Caenorhabditis elegans: one gene and its partner. The protein of the gene in region 1 purifies or fractionates together with the protein of each later gene. This does not show direct contact. Each region holds a gene or a part of one and is shown in the gene's direction. Other genes may lie near its edges.

What was found. Proteins that work in one complex are often made in the same cells at the same time.
Region 2: the proteins of smg-2 (region 1) and paa-1 purify together in Caenorhabditis elegans (affinity purification with western blotting, with the first as the bait; one study listed by BioGRID). This does not show direct contact.

What each region holds. Positions count from the first base shown.
Region 1 is NC_003279.8:1,172,813-1,181,148, forward strand, and holds the start of smg-2 (Regulator of nonsense transcripts 1), read left to right. Parts: upstream 1-3,660; 5' UTR 3,661-3,662; coding exon 3,663-3,809; intron 3,810-5,065; coding exon 5,066-5,607; intron 5,608-6,190; coding exon 6,191-6,579; intron 6,580-7,434; coding exon 7,435-8,336. Other genes in the region: haf-6 (Mitochondrial potassium channel ATP-binding subunit), read right to left, coding at 996-1,283, 2,572-2,815, 2,877-2,941. UniProt on the Caenorhabditis elegans protein: RNA-dependent helicase required for nonsense-mediated decay (NMD) of aberrant mRNAs containing premature stop codons and modulates the expression level of normal mRNAs.
Region 2 is NC_003281.10:5,447,317-5,453,637, forward strand, and holds paa-1 (putative serine/threonine-protein phosphatase PP2A regulatory subunit), read left to right. Parts: upstream 1-3,413; 5' UTR 3,414-3,424; coding exon 3,425-3,933; intron 3,934-3,984; coding exon 3,985-4,844; intron 4,845-4,891; coding exon 4,892-5,109; intron 5,110-5,162; coding exon 5,163-5,242; intron 5,243-5,286; coding exon 5,287-5,378; intron 5,379-5,432; coding exon 5,433-5,446; 3' UTR 5,447-5,821; downstream 5,822-6,321. Other genes in the region: skpt-1 (F-box domain-containing protein), read right to left, coding at 22-308, 352-676, 724-805, 849-927; F48E8.8 (Hsp20/alpha crystallin family protein), read right to left, coding at 1,522-1,649, 1,697-1,882, 2,038-2,158, 2,204-2,320, 2,416-2,496; F48E8.4 (MRH domain-containing protein), read left to right, coding at 6,290-6,321. UniProt on the Caenorhabditis elegans protein: Acts as a scaffolding protein for phosphatase let-92 and its regulatory subunits.

The sequences.
Region 1 (8,336 bases):
TTTTTCTGAAGCTCTTTAAAAATTTTCAAAAAAAATTAAATTTTCAAAAGAAAATTTTCAAAAGAAATTTTTCTATTTTTCTAAAAAAAAAATTTTTGTAAAGTTTTTTCACAAATTAAATTTTTTTTTTCTGTAACTCAATTTGTTTAAAAATATTTGAAAAATAAAAATAGTGGAAACAAGAAAACTATGCAGAAAAATTAAATTTAAAGTTTTTTTCAGAATTTTTTAGAGTAAATTTTTTAAATTTTGATTTTATTTTTGAAAATTAGAGAAAATTAAACACGAAAAATAGAAAATTTTAGAGTTTTCCCTAATTAATTTTTCAAAAAGTTAACGCAGAAAAATACTGAAAATTAATCAAAAACTAAAACAAATAATTGAAAAAAAAATTTTTTTTGGGACAATTTTTTTTTCAGACATTACACGGATTTCTGGGTTCCGACAATTCCTTATAAATACAGAAAGATGTGCGCCTTTAAAGGTTACTGTAGTTGTAAAAATTATTTTTTTCCCACGATTTCGGGAAAAAAATTCGCAGAAAGGAAAAGCTCGAAAATACAGTAGTACCCTCTTTAAAGGCGCAGATTGATTTATACCGAAAAATTGTCGTGTCGAGACCCTGTATTTTTGTTCTAAAAAAGTTAAAATTGAAAAAAAGGAAATCCTGTTTTTTTATCTGAAAACTGCCAAAAAAATCAAATTCAAAAATCAAACATTTTAGAGTTTTCCCTAATTAATTTTTCAAAAAGTTAAAGCAGAAAAATACTGAAAATTAATCAAAAACTAAAACAAATATTTGAAAAAAAAAAATTTTTTGGGACAATTTTTTTTTCGGGGATCAGGGGAAATTTTGGAGTCAATCCATCTTTAAATTGCAAAAAATTAAAAATGTCGAGTTTTCAAAAAGATTTTTTTTACTGAAAAAAACCGAAAAAATCGGAATTTAAAAAACTAGGCCACCAAAATTTCACCGCGGCCACCCACGCTCTTACATGAGAATCAAAAAATGCCATATCATGGTGCAATAGCTTCTGAAACAAGTCCGACCGCATTTTCGTCGCCATTCGTTCTCCGAGAACCGTTAAAAATGTGATATAAAGAAATGTGAGAGCAGATTGTGCAACATATAGTGTCATTAAGTGCAGAGCAGATGGCTTGAGCTGTTCAAAATGAGATCGTAAATTGTTCGACTCGTCCTTGATGATTTTCACGATTCCGTTCACCAAATCGCCCAGGCATAGTGGAATTTGAATGTTGATGTAGGCTGAGAGGATGGCGCACTGCAAAAAAAACTGATAATTTTTCTCAATTTTTTAAGGAAAAATTGACTAAAATTAAAATTTTTTTGTTTTTAAAATTTTTTCTGGTGAAATTCCGAAAAAATTACAAGATTTTCGTACAATTTAATGTAGAAATTAAAATTTTTAGCCCCCCAAAATAACTGAAAAACTTCAAATTCCGAGATTTAAAACAAAAATTTTGTAATTTTTTGTAATTTATCCGGACAAAACCGACTTTTAGCCAATTTTTTCTTTAAATGTGGACTCCACTCTGTGGGAAAATTGCTTTAAAACATGCCTATGAGGCCATAATGACCGAATATCATTAATTCGTATGAAATCAATGAAATTTCATAGTTAAATTGGAAAATGGCAACATTTTTGCTTAAAATTTGTAAAAAATCATGTTTTTTGGGCATTTTTGGTGATTTTCTTTCGATTTTTATGATATTTCGGCGGTTTTCACCCAATTTCATTAGAAAAAATTGAAAAAATCTCAGTTTTTGCCTAATTCCTAATTGAATTTCCGCCAATTGGATTCGTTCGTTGGAGCGCACTTGCATTATTTTCATTAATTTTTTAAAATTATTTTTTATTATTTCACTGATTTTCTTCATTATTTGTGCATTTTTATCGGAAAAAAGAACTGAAAAAGCAAGAAAAATACAAAATGTTTGTTAAAAAGTAACTGAAAATGCGTAAAACTGTGATTTTTTGAGTTCTGAGGACGACGAGCCTGAAATTTGTATTATTCATGGAGTTTTAGGTATTTTTAGTCACTTTTTCATAAACATTTTGCATTTTTCTTGTTTATTTCGTTCATATTCCGATCAAAAACCCCTAAAAATGAAGAAAATCAATGAAATAATGATAAAAAAAATAATGCAAGCGCGCTCCACCGAACAAGTTCAATTGGCGGAAATTCAAATAGGAATTAGGGGAAAACTGAGATTTTTTCAATTTTTTCTAATGAAATTGGGTAAAAACCGCCGAAAAATCATAAAAATCGAAAGAAAATCACCAAAAATGCCCAAAAAACATGATTTTTTACAAATTTTAAGCAAAAATGTTGCCATTTTCCAATTTAACTATGAAATTTCATTGATTTCATACGAATTAATGCGGAAATTAAAGTTTTTTTGCTGGAAAATTGACAGGAAACCTGAAATAAAATTAAAAAGCAAGATTTTAGGTGAAAATTGCACAATTTTTTGTAAGTTAACTATAAAAATACGTATTTTTCTCGATTTTTCCCAGTTTTCAACCGGATTTTTATCGAAAAATTCACCACAACTGCAGCGAAAAACCAGCCGAAAAAGGGTTTAATCAAATTCCACAGCTCTCCGGCCGTCATTGACGCATTCTGATCCTCCGTCGTCCTCAAATGGTCGATGCGTTTGCTCAATTTCGGAGCACATGCCGCTTTTCGTAGGGTTACAGCTCCTAAACCGGCTCCAAACCCACAAATTCGCCATGTTTTGAGTATTGTTGTCCTTGAAATCGGTTTGTGAAGCCATGGATAGCTGGAAAAGCTGCAAAAAACGGGAAAATATATGGAAAAATGGAAAATCAGCAGATTTTTGCAGATCTTACCAGTGTTTGCTGCTTTGCACGGCGCTTTTGATGGATATTTGGGATAGTTTAGATAGAATTGACATTAAAAACCAGGAAAAATCAATACAAATCAATAAAAATCAGTTCTTATCAGCGATTTTTTCCGATTTTCCAAGAAAAATAATAATCGAGAAAACATAAACTCCGTGCGGCACACTTGCAAAAACCGTGCGCCCACCTTGCAATGAGGTGTTTTTATCATATTTTTTCATTTTTCGACCGTTTTTCGCAATTTTTTCTAACAAAACCTCATTTTTTGTATGAAAATGTTGAAAAAATATGCATTTTCATGGTTAAATTGTTAAAAATCACACAATTTTCGCTTAAAATCATCTAAAATGATGAAATATTGCTCATTTTAAAAGTTGGGGGGATTTTTCAGTTTGTTTTTCAAATTTGAGCTCAAATTTTAGGCATTTTTACCTTTTTCCGATAAAAAGTGAGCGGAAATTGAAAATTTTCAATTTTAATTGTTGAAATTTCCAAAAATGCACCCGCTTTGTGATTAAATTAACACAGTTCTCATTTTCGAAGGTTTTCCGCCAATTTTCGGCAAAAATGTTGAATTTTTACATGAAAAATCTGCAAAAATAAGTGTAAAAGTGGTAAAAAATTACGAAATATTGCTCATTGTTAGATTTTGCAATTTGAAAAATGCTTTTTTGTACTTTTTTCACCTATTTTACTCGAATACCGACAAATTTCTCATGAATGCTATCGATTTCTCATTCCAAAACCCCTCAAAAACGCACTTTTCTTCCAGTAATGGACGATTCGGACGACGAATATTCGAGAAGCCACGGGGAAACCCTCACATTTGTGGATCCCGAGGACGATGGAGTCTCTATTGGGAACACGCAGGACTCTCAGTTCGCCTATGAGCAGTTTAGTGTGCCTACGCAGAGTTCTCAGGTAGAAAATTGCCGCATTTGTGTCAAAAAATCGAAGGAAAATTCTGGATTTTGCTGAAAAATCAAGTTTTTCACATGATTTTTCAGAGAAATTTGTATTCAAAATCCTTTGAATTGATAGACTTTACACACTGAAAAAAACGATGAAAATCATGAAAAAAAAACCACTCGAAAATGGACAAAACCGATGGAATTTGTGATTTTTATTTTCAATTTTTGTTCGAAAATGAGTATAATCCCGTCAATTTGCAATTTTCAGATGCTTTTTTGCCCACTTTGCCCAATCAATTTTTCGTGCAAATTTCAAGAAAAATCGATCCAAAAGCTCGAAAAAATTAGATTTTTGTGCAAAAATTGCAAAATTTTTTGAATTTGGCCATTTTCGATTAGTTTTTCTTGTAATTTTCAAGAAAACAAACCGTCCAATTTTTTTTGGAGATGTTTTGTGATATAAATTATCTTTTCCAACAATATCAACGATTTTCTAGAAGCTCAACGTTAAAAAAGGTTAGAAAATTAGATTATACTATTACGGGAACACAAAATTCTGAGAATGCGTATTGCACAACATATTTGACGCGCAAAATATCTCGTAGCGAAAACTACAGTAATTCTTTAAATGACTACTGTAGGTCGATTTACGGGCTCGATTTTCATTTTTCCTTCGCCAAAATCGAGATTCCGTAAATCGACACTACAGTAGTCATTTAAAGAATTACTGTAGTTTTCGCTACGAGATATTTTGCGCGTCAAATATGTTGTGTAATACGCATTCTTAGAATTTTGTGTTCCCGTAATAGTATAATCTAATTTTCTAACCTTTCTTAACGTTGAGCTTGCTCTGGAAAAGATAATTTATATCACCAAAAACTTGTTTTAAAAAGAATTTTTCTCATTCCTTACTGTCAGGAATCTTGGAAATTGTGATTTTTTTTTCCAATATTTTTGTTTATCGCAATTTTCAGATGATTTTTGAGCACTTTGCCCACAATTTTTCGTGCTAATTTCAAGAAAATCGACCCAAAAGCGTACAAAAAATTCCAAGAAAATTCCAAAGCAATTTTAAAAATTCGACTCTCAAAAAAAAACACCTATTCCAGGCGACAGATCTTAATTTTAAATAAATTTTTATTCAAAATCCTCTGAAAGTGGAAATTTCAGTGGAAAAAAACCAAGAAAATCATAGAAAAGTCCCTTAAAATCAATTTTTTTTGTCAATTTTTCAAAATTCTCAACAAAAAAAAACCCATATTCCAGGCGACAGATCTGCTGCCAGGAGGAACCGATGGAACCACCAACGATTTGCCATTTCACGACGTGGAAGACGACGAGTCGGACAGTGAAAAATCACTGACAGAAGAGCAGCAGCAGCAGAAGCTGCCGGAGCACGCGTGTCGCTATTGTGGAATCTCTGATCCTCTGTGTGTCGCCAAATGCACAGTCTGCAGGAAATGGTTCTGTAATTCCAATGATGGAACGTCGGGCGGGCATATTGTTCATCATATGGTTCGGAGTCAGCATAAGGAAGCCTACACGCATAAGGATTCACCGTGTGGTGACACTCAATTGGAATGCTATCGTTGTGGTTCGAAAAACGTGTTTAATCTCGGCTTCATCCCCGGAAAAAAGGATCAAGTCGTCGTGATAATCTGTAGAACACCGTGCGCCAGTATTGCATTCCAGAATGATGATAATTGGTCGCCCGAGGACTGGAAATCTGTAATCGCTGAAAAACAGCTGCTATCGTGGATTGTTAATGTGCCCAGCGAGGAGCAGGTGGCCAGAGCTAGGAAAATCACGTTAGTGGAGGAAAATCGATTTTTGAGAAAAATTTTAAAATAATAATTAAAGGAATTTCCAACCAAAAATGCAATTTCCGAGCGATCGAATTTTAACAATTTTTAACTAAATCTCGCCGTCCATCGACTTTAAAATACCTAAATCGAGTTGAAAACGCAAGATAATTAAATTGTATACTCAAAATTTGACGGTGGTTACAAAAAAAAAATAGTTTCCAGCCGCTTTACAAGTCGGTCAAATTTCAAATTTTAACTAATTTTAGGCCATTTTTTGAACCGTCATAACTTGTTTTTTGAGAAGTTTCACTATGAAATTCGGTGTTTTCTGAGTTGAATAAAGCAATTTTAAAAAATTCGACTACACCACCTTTAATATTTCTATAGCTTCGATTTTTTTGTTGATAAAAAATCTATTCCCAGTTTCCAAAAGAAATTGAAAATTGAATTTTTTTTCGAATTTTCGTGCAAAAAATTCTCAATTTCTACCGGCATTGGTGCAAAAAGCCGGAAAAACACAAGTGGTATAGTACTTTTAAATAGCTATATATATATATATATATATATGAAAAACTAAATTTTCCAGTGCTACCCAAGCAGTCCGAATGGAAGAGCTCTGGCGTGATCACCCAGAAGCAACCGTTGACGATTTAAATAAACCGGGACTCGATCGAGAACCGGATCATGTTCAATTAAGATATGTGGATGCTCATCACTATTCGAAAGTGTTCCGTCCATTAGTTGCAATTGAAGCAGAATATGATCGAAGAGTTAAAGAATCAGCATCACAAGCAGTCGGAACTGTTAGATGGGAACAAGGACTTCGTCAATCGGTTCTCGCGTTCTTTCATCTTCCACAATTTGCTGATGGTGTCATGAAGCTTGCGAAAGGCGATGAACTTCGATTGAAACATTCTCAGACGGTTGATGGATCGGAATGGACCAAGATTGGAAGTGTTTTCAAGATTCCTGATAGTAAGGGATGGGAAAAATAAAAATAAAAATTTTGAGTAGTTTTTCTTGGAATTTTCAAGAAATAACTGTCCAAAATTTTTTTTTTGGAGATTTTTCCTGATATAAATTGTATTTTCCAGTAATTTCAACGATTTTCCAGAAGCTGAAAAGGTTAGATATTTAGTTTATACTATTACGGGAACACAAAATTCTGAAAATGCGTATTACACAACATATTTGACGCGCAAAATATCTCGTAGCGAAAACTACAGTAATTCTTTAAATGACTACTGTAGGTCGATTTACGACGCGCTTGATTTTCATTTTCACACGAACGAAAAAGTGAAAATCGAGCCCGTAAATCGACGCTACAGTAGTCATTTAAAGAATTACTGTAGTTTTCGCTACGAGATATTTTGCGCGTCAAATATGTTGTGTAATACGCATTTTCAGAATTTTGTGTTCCCGTAATAGTATAAACTAAATTTCTAACCTTTTGAGCTTCTGGAAAATCGTTGAAATTATGGGAAAGTACAATTTACATCACCAAAAATCTGCAAAAAAAAAAATTTCGGTCGGTTTTTTCTTGAAAATTACAAGAAAAACTACTCGAAAATGACCAAAATCAATTTTTTTTTGAGCTTTTTTAACTTTAAATTCTTCGGAAAAATTTTTTTTCCCGCTTTTGGATCGATTTTTCTTGAAATTAGCACGAAAAATTGGGCAAAGAGCTCAAAAATCATCTGAAAATTGCAAATTTACAACAAAAAAATCACAAATTCCATCGTTTCTGGCCATTTTCGAGTGGTTTTTCTGTGAATTTCAAGAAAAATTGCACAAAAAGCTCCAAAAAATTTCACGTTTACAAATTTGCAGACCACGGCGACGAGGTAGGCATCGAAATCCGCGGAGCTGTCGACAAATCAGTGATGGAGAGTCGGATTATGTTCACCGTCGACGTCGTCTGGAACGCCACCACCTTCGAGCGACAGTACAAGGCTCTTGCGGCGCTGCTCAACGACTCCAAAGCAATATCTCCATATCTCTACCAGAAGCTTCTGGGTCATCCAGCCGAGGAAATGATGCTCAAGTTTGATCTACCGCGTCGGCTATCTGTCGCTGGACTCCCCGAGCTTAATAGCTCCCAGATGCAGGCAGTGAAGCAGGTGCTCACCCGACCTTTAAGCTTGATTCAAGGACCTCCGGGAACTGGAAAAACCGTAGTTTCGGCGACAATCGTCTATCATTTGGTGCAGAAAACCGAGGGAAACGTGCTCGTGTGCTCGCCGAGCAACATCGCCGTCGATCACTTGGCCGAGAAGATTCACAAGACGGGATTGAAGGTTGTGAGGCTTTGTGCGAGATCTCGAGAGCACAGTGAGACTACAGTACCCTACTTGACGCTTCAACATCAGCTAAAAGTGATGGGCGGTGCGGAGCTTCAGAAGCTGATTCAGTTGAAAGATGAAGCCGGGGAGCTCGAGTTTAAGGATGATTTGAGATATATGCAATTGAAAAGAGTCAAAGAGCATGAGCTTCTCGCCGCCGCTGACGTCATCTGTTGTACGTGCTCATCGGCGGCTGATGCGAGATTGTCGAAGATCCGTACGAGAACTGTGCTCATTGATGAGAGCACACAGGCGACAGAGCCCGAGATTTTGGTCTCTATTATGAGAGGAGTCAGGCAATTGGTTTTAGTTGGAGATCACTGTCAACTGGGACCGGTTGTTATATGTAAAAAGGCGGCGATTGCCGGATTGAGCCAATCTTTGTTCGAG
Region 2 (6,321 bases), on another chromosome or scaffold:
AAGTTTTAAAAAATCCCTCACTCTTTGCAATTTCTGAAGATCAAACTGGCTCCATTTGCCGTGATTCCGTTGGTCATCGAGATGTCGAGCTCGCGGAGCCCGCGATTCTCTGCAATGCATATTGCCACGTGGTCATCCAATTGATTTCCTTCAATTGACAAGCATTTGAGCTTCTGGCATGGTTTCAACATAATCTGCATTTGGCGGGCAGTGAGATTAGTGCGAGAGAGATCGAGAAGCTCCAAGCGGGAGGTGCTCAGCAGTGCAACTTCGACGAGCCGTTCATCGGCACGAAGGATTCGATCGGCCTGGAAACAGTTAGTTTTATAGGAAATAAAATAAAATTCTCACTTTAGCTCCTGCCAGACGAAGAACTTTGATTTTTCGTTGTGACAACGCAATCAGTGAAATTTCGGAAATAGGACGATCCTGGGCGTCGGTGATAATCCAATTTCTCGATTTGTGTCCGATTCCGTAAAAACGATGACAGACGAGCATCGCCGAGAGAAGATCCTTCTTTTTCAAATTGGAAAAGATTTGTTCAGTGATCTCATCGGGAATACTGTACTTTTTGAACGGATTCTGAATACTGCGTGCGTCTTTTCGCTTGATCGGAGCGATTTCATCTTCTACGAGATTTTTGCAATTCAGATTTATCGACTTTAGCTTTTCGGAGCTGAAATGTCGTAAAATTAAGAAAATTAAGAGATAATTGCAGCTTACTTTCCGGAAACTGAAAGCCTGAGGCTTTTCTTTGGATAGAGGTTGTAGCATGGAAAGATGGAGATGGTCTCATCTGAGAATACTTTGAAAAAGTCAATCATATTTGAATTTTGACACACAATTACCTGTCTCCACGCAATGCTCATTTTCAGAGGGTCCGTTATCTTCTAGAGTTGATGGAAGTCTTCCTATGACACGAGACATTTTGTTTGAGTAGATATGAGGTGTAGTATTTAGGTGGTAAATAAGGGAAAAAGCACTTTCTGCTTGAAATAAATTCAAAACAGGGCTGATTTGAATAAATATGAACTCGCGGGCGCGGTAATCTTTTTTAGGTTGGCGCGAGTTTTTGCAATGCAAACGCGCTCCACCGCAAATCTGAATTTTCGAACATTTTTCGCCAATTTTTATCCTTATTTTTTTATTTTTTGCAATATTTCGCTATTTTTATTTGTTTCTCCCACCAAAAGCGCACATTTTTAAATCAAAATACGATTAAATAAAAGTAATATAACTTTTTAAATAAGTCCAAATAACCTTTAAGCAAAGTAAGGGTCGAATCTGAAACTATTTCTTGAAAACAACTTTTTTGTCTCATTCATCGAAGATTGGTTGTATTCGGAAGTGAGAGGTTGACAAGTTTTTTAAAATCCATTTTATTAATTATTCCGAAATACACATTTAGTTCCAATAGTTTCGAAATTTAAAACGTTTGAGTCATCCTTCATTTTTTCTGCCTAGTTGCTGTGATCATTTGGAGAGAGTATAAGAATTTATTAATCATTTCGAAAAAAAAAATCATTTTTGAATATCCTGTATCATTCTATTAAACTTGAAGTTATTCGGCCGGTGTTGAACAATTTGCTCCTCATTGGCGATCATTTCGTTATTCTGATTTCTTCGATTATAACGGAAGGAGAGTGGATCTGAATTTACAGTAGATTTTAAATTGGTTTTTCTTGAATTTCCTCACCTAATTTTTGTAGTGGAACAGGCGCTATGTCCACCGGCTCTGCAATATTGTTCAAGCCGATCGAGCGATTTGCGTAGAGATTTATTTCATTAAAGATATAATCATCTGACAAATTATCTGGCACCCCTCGTTTTCTTTTAGAAGTTTCCTCGATAGGTTCGGTTACAATTACATCGGTTTGTTGAGCTGAAATAGGATCCAAATTATCAAATATCCTTCTCTATTCATGTTATAAATCTTGGTTGTAAGAACAGTTAACATAATTAGTAACAATTAGAAACCTGATGTGATTAAGATTCTATCACTGTTTTTAAATAGTAAAATAAATAATTTTGACATACGTATATTGATAACTTCTCCTCTTTGTAACGCCTCAATCAATGCATCCAAATCAAGATCTCCATCACCTTGAGCCTCACGCAGTGCTCTCTCCTTTCGAAGCCTTTCCTTCAGTCGTTTAATCTGTCATTAAGCCACTAGTATACACCTTGGAGAGCCACCACAAACCTGCTCGGCTCGTCGCCGTCTACTTTCCTTATCTATCTCCTCTTCACGCTTGCCGTCTGCCCATTTGTTGAAGCTGAATGTGTTGAACACATTCGCACCGTCTCCCATTGTACTGTTCTGTAAATATATAAACTGAGCTAATGAGAAGAATACGTACTAGAGCACCACGCTTTTGCGAAAAATGAGAACCAAAAGCTCGATTGTGCACTCACTTTTGCATATTTTATTAAAGCTTTTGACGTCCTTTTCTCTTTTGTTCGCCTGTTTGAAATTTTTGAAAACCAGGAAACCATGATGATTTTAAATGTTTAATGATGTTCTTCTAACAGCATGCCCACGCGTTTTGCCTGAAAATTCGAATCAAATTAATTTTCAGCCTTTTTATTGTTTAAATATCAGAAAAAAACTGGCTGTTCACTAATCACGTGATGCCTGTGTTTTCATCCTCCCTTCTACACTGAAAATATTCTATTTTAAGGACATTTTCAGTCATTTTCCGGCGCTGTTCCCTCTGTCGTCGCCACGTCCAGTACACCGAAACCGACGACAAATCGATGAGAGCTCTACGACCGCAGGCGCGATGGATTGTGCTATTGCAGTGAGAGAGAGATGGCCGTTCTCTGCTTCTCTGCGTATCACTGTCGCAGCTGTTTCTCTTCTTCTCCTTTCGCCGCTCTTTTTTTGCATGTTCGTCAGGTTCACTATAGCGATTTCTTAATATCGAAATTTCACGAGTTTCAGAGTTGATTTTCGAAAGATCAGTGAAAATATTGTCCACGTGGTAGAGTTTTTCACTGATTTCTCGAAAATTCCAATAGTTTCTTTAAAAATCACACTCTTCTTCTTTGAACAATTCCATTTCATTGATTTTCTATATTTTCGTACAGAAATAATAATGTTTCAACAAAAATATGTTTTCTAGCACTGAACATTCTTAAATTTGAATTTAATTTTCTTAATATCAGATATTCAAAGATGACTATTCGTAGATTCTGCAAGTTCTTTCAAAATACTCAATTTTTCTATTTTCTCTCCAATTTATTTCTCCAAAAACCACCCGGTAATCAATATTTCAACACATTGCTGTGTTATCTTCACTGCGTCTCCTCTCTCTCTCTTGTTCTCCTCATGCCCGATGATAATCCGTTTCTCTTCCCGTTCTTTCTCCTTTGAATAGCCGCGAGATTAATTTTCATAAAACAAATTTCAGCACTCTTCATCATGTCGGTTGTCGAAGAAGCCACTGACGACGCGCTCTACCCGATTGCCGTGCTCATTGACGAGCTGCGCAACGAAGATGTCACGTTGCGACTGAACAGCATTCGCAAACTCTCCACAATCGCTTTGGCGTTGGGTGTGGAGCGCACACGCAACGAGCTCATCCAATTTTTGACCGACACGATTTACGACGAAGATGAGGTTCTGCTTGTGCTCGCCGAGCAACTCGGAAATTTCACTCCATTGGTCGGTGGTCCAGATCATGTTCATTGTCTTCTCCTTCCACTTGAGAACTTGGCCACAGTCGAGGAGACCGTGGTCCGTGACAAAGCCGTTGAGAGTCTCCGCAAAATCGCCGACAAGCACAGCTCGGCCTCATTGGAGGAGCATTTCGTGCCGATGCTCAGACGTTTGGCCACTGGAGACTGGTTCACATCCCGTACCTCGGCTTGTGGGCTTTTCTCTGTTGTTTATCCACGTGTCAGTCCAGCTATCAAGTCGGAATTGAAGAGGTGAGAATTAAGAAAAGAATAACTAAAGCAATCTAAATTAATTATTTTCAGCATGTTCCGAACCCTGTGCCGTGATGACACCCCAATGGTTCGCCGTGCTGCTGCTGCAAAGCTCGGAGAGTTCGCAAAGGTGTTTGAGAAGACTGCCGTCATCGAGGGTCTCCACTCCAGTCTCACTGATCTTCATGTTGATGAGCAAGATTCTGTTCGTTTGCTCACTGTCGAGTCAGCCATCGCTTTCGGAACTCTCCTCGATAAGGCTAACAAGAAGAAACTCATCGAGCCAATTCTCATTGAATTGTTCGATGACAAGTCGTGGAGAGTTCGTTATATGGTTGCCGAGAAGCTTATCGAGATTCAGAATGTCCTCGGTGAGGATATGGATACCACACATCTCGTTAACATGTACACGAACCTTCTCAAGGATCCAGAGGGTGAGGTTAGATGTGCTGCCACTCAGAGACTTCAGGAATTCGCTCTCAACTTGCCAGAGGACAAGCGTCAGAACATTATCTGCAACTCACTGCTCAACGTTGCCAAGGAATTGGTTACTGATGGGAATCAGCTCGTCAAGTCGGAACTCGCCGGTGTCATCATGGGACTTGCTCCACTGATTGGCAAGGAACAAACTGTCTCTGAGCTTCTCCCAATCTACATGCAGTTGCTTAACGATCAAACCCCAGAAGTTCGCCTCAATATTATTTCCAGTCTTGATAAGGTCAATGAAGTGATCGGAGCAGCTCAATTGTCCACATCCCTCTTGCCAGCCATCGTTGGATTGGCCGAGGATGGAAAATGGAGAGTTCGACTCGCAATTGTTCAATTCATGCCACTTCTTGCTTCCCAGTTGGGACAAGAATTCTTCGATGAGAAGTTGCTTCCGCTTTGTTTGAACTGGCTTACCGACCATGGTAACTTGATTTTTTCTTAAAAATGTTTTTAATTTAATTTTTTCCAGTGTTCTCAATCCGCGAGGCATCGACCCTCATCATGAAGGAACTGACACAGAAGTTTGGAGGACAATGGGCTAGCACGAATATTGTACCAAAAATGCAGAAACTTCAGAAGGACACCAACTACCTGCAGAGAATGACATGCTTGTTCTGTTTGAATACACTCAGTGAGGCGATGACTCAGGAGCAGATTCTGAAGGAGATTATGCCAATTGTGAAAGATGTAGGGAAATTTTACTTTTTTATTTAAAGAAATCGTAATTTTTCTAATTTCAGCTTGTCGAGGATGACGTGCCGAATGTCAGATTCAACGCCGCAAAGAGTTTGAAGCGAATTGGAAAGAACTTGACCCCAAGGTGACAGGAAAATCTTTTTCACTATCCCAATTTTCTATTTTCAGTACATTGACGTCCGAGGTGAAGCCACTGCTCGAGAAGCTCGGAAAAGATTCAGACTTTGACGTTCGATACTTTTCAGAGGAAGCCAAGAACTGTAAGTTTCAGTTGTCTTAAAATTTAGAGTGAATTTGAAATTGAACATTTTCAGCACTCGGCTTGTAATCGAACATATCGCTAGTCAAATTGGAATCTCTACATCTTCCACTTCTCAATCGTCTTATTTTTCCATTTTTGTTCCCGAGCACGCGAATAATCTCTATCTCTCCTCATTCATTTGTAAATGTTTAGCCCTCGAGACAAAACTCTGTATTGTAATAGTTCTAACCACCGTCCCTCCCACAACAAAACAATACAAATTATAATCGTTAAATTATGCGACCTCTCTTTATGATTATTTTCATTTTCCTCCCACTTCTATCCCGTATATTTCACCATCCTACTTCTTTCTGTTCTTTTTCCACCACACACAATCACCACTTTTTCCATTGCGACCCATTCATTCATTTATTTTTTTTGCAGAATAAAAGGTCATCGTCTATTATGAGAAAAAAGGTCTCAGGTTAGGTTAGATCAGTGTGGTTGAAATCTCTGAAAATATTTGGAATAATGGTGTTATCCGGCGTATGCCACGTCGCAGAAGCTTTTGAGCAGAGAATCTCGGTGCTTTTGCAACGTGGATTAAATATTGCTCAAGTTGCAAGCGTTGTGAAACGTCTCATTCAAATAAAAAATTTACTTTTGCCATTTGGAACTTTGAAACCATCTTTTTGGCCGTTTGGCAAATCCAGCTGGCAAAGAGCGGGCATAAATTTATATTAAACGCGCAGTTTCCCGATTGATTGTCTCAGAAACTTCCAGTGCTCAGATTTTGCCACGTGGCTAGAAGTTTTCGTTGCCAAAATTATTTTTTCCAATTAAAAAACTGTTCGCATTTACTTTTCAATTTTTCAATTCAATCGGAGAATTGTTTACGTAGTTTCTCTTTGCAGGTGCTATGCCAAGACGATGATAATTTATTTCCTCCAACTATTCCTGCT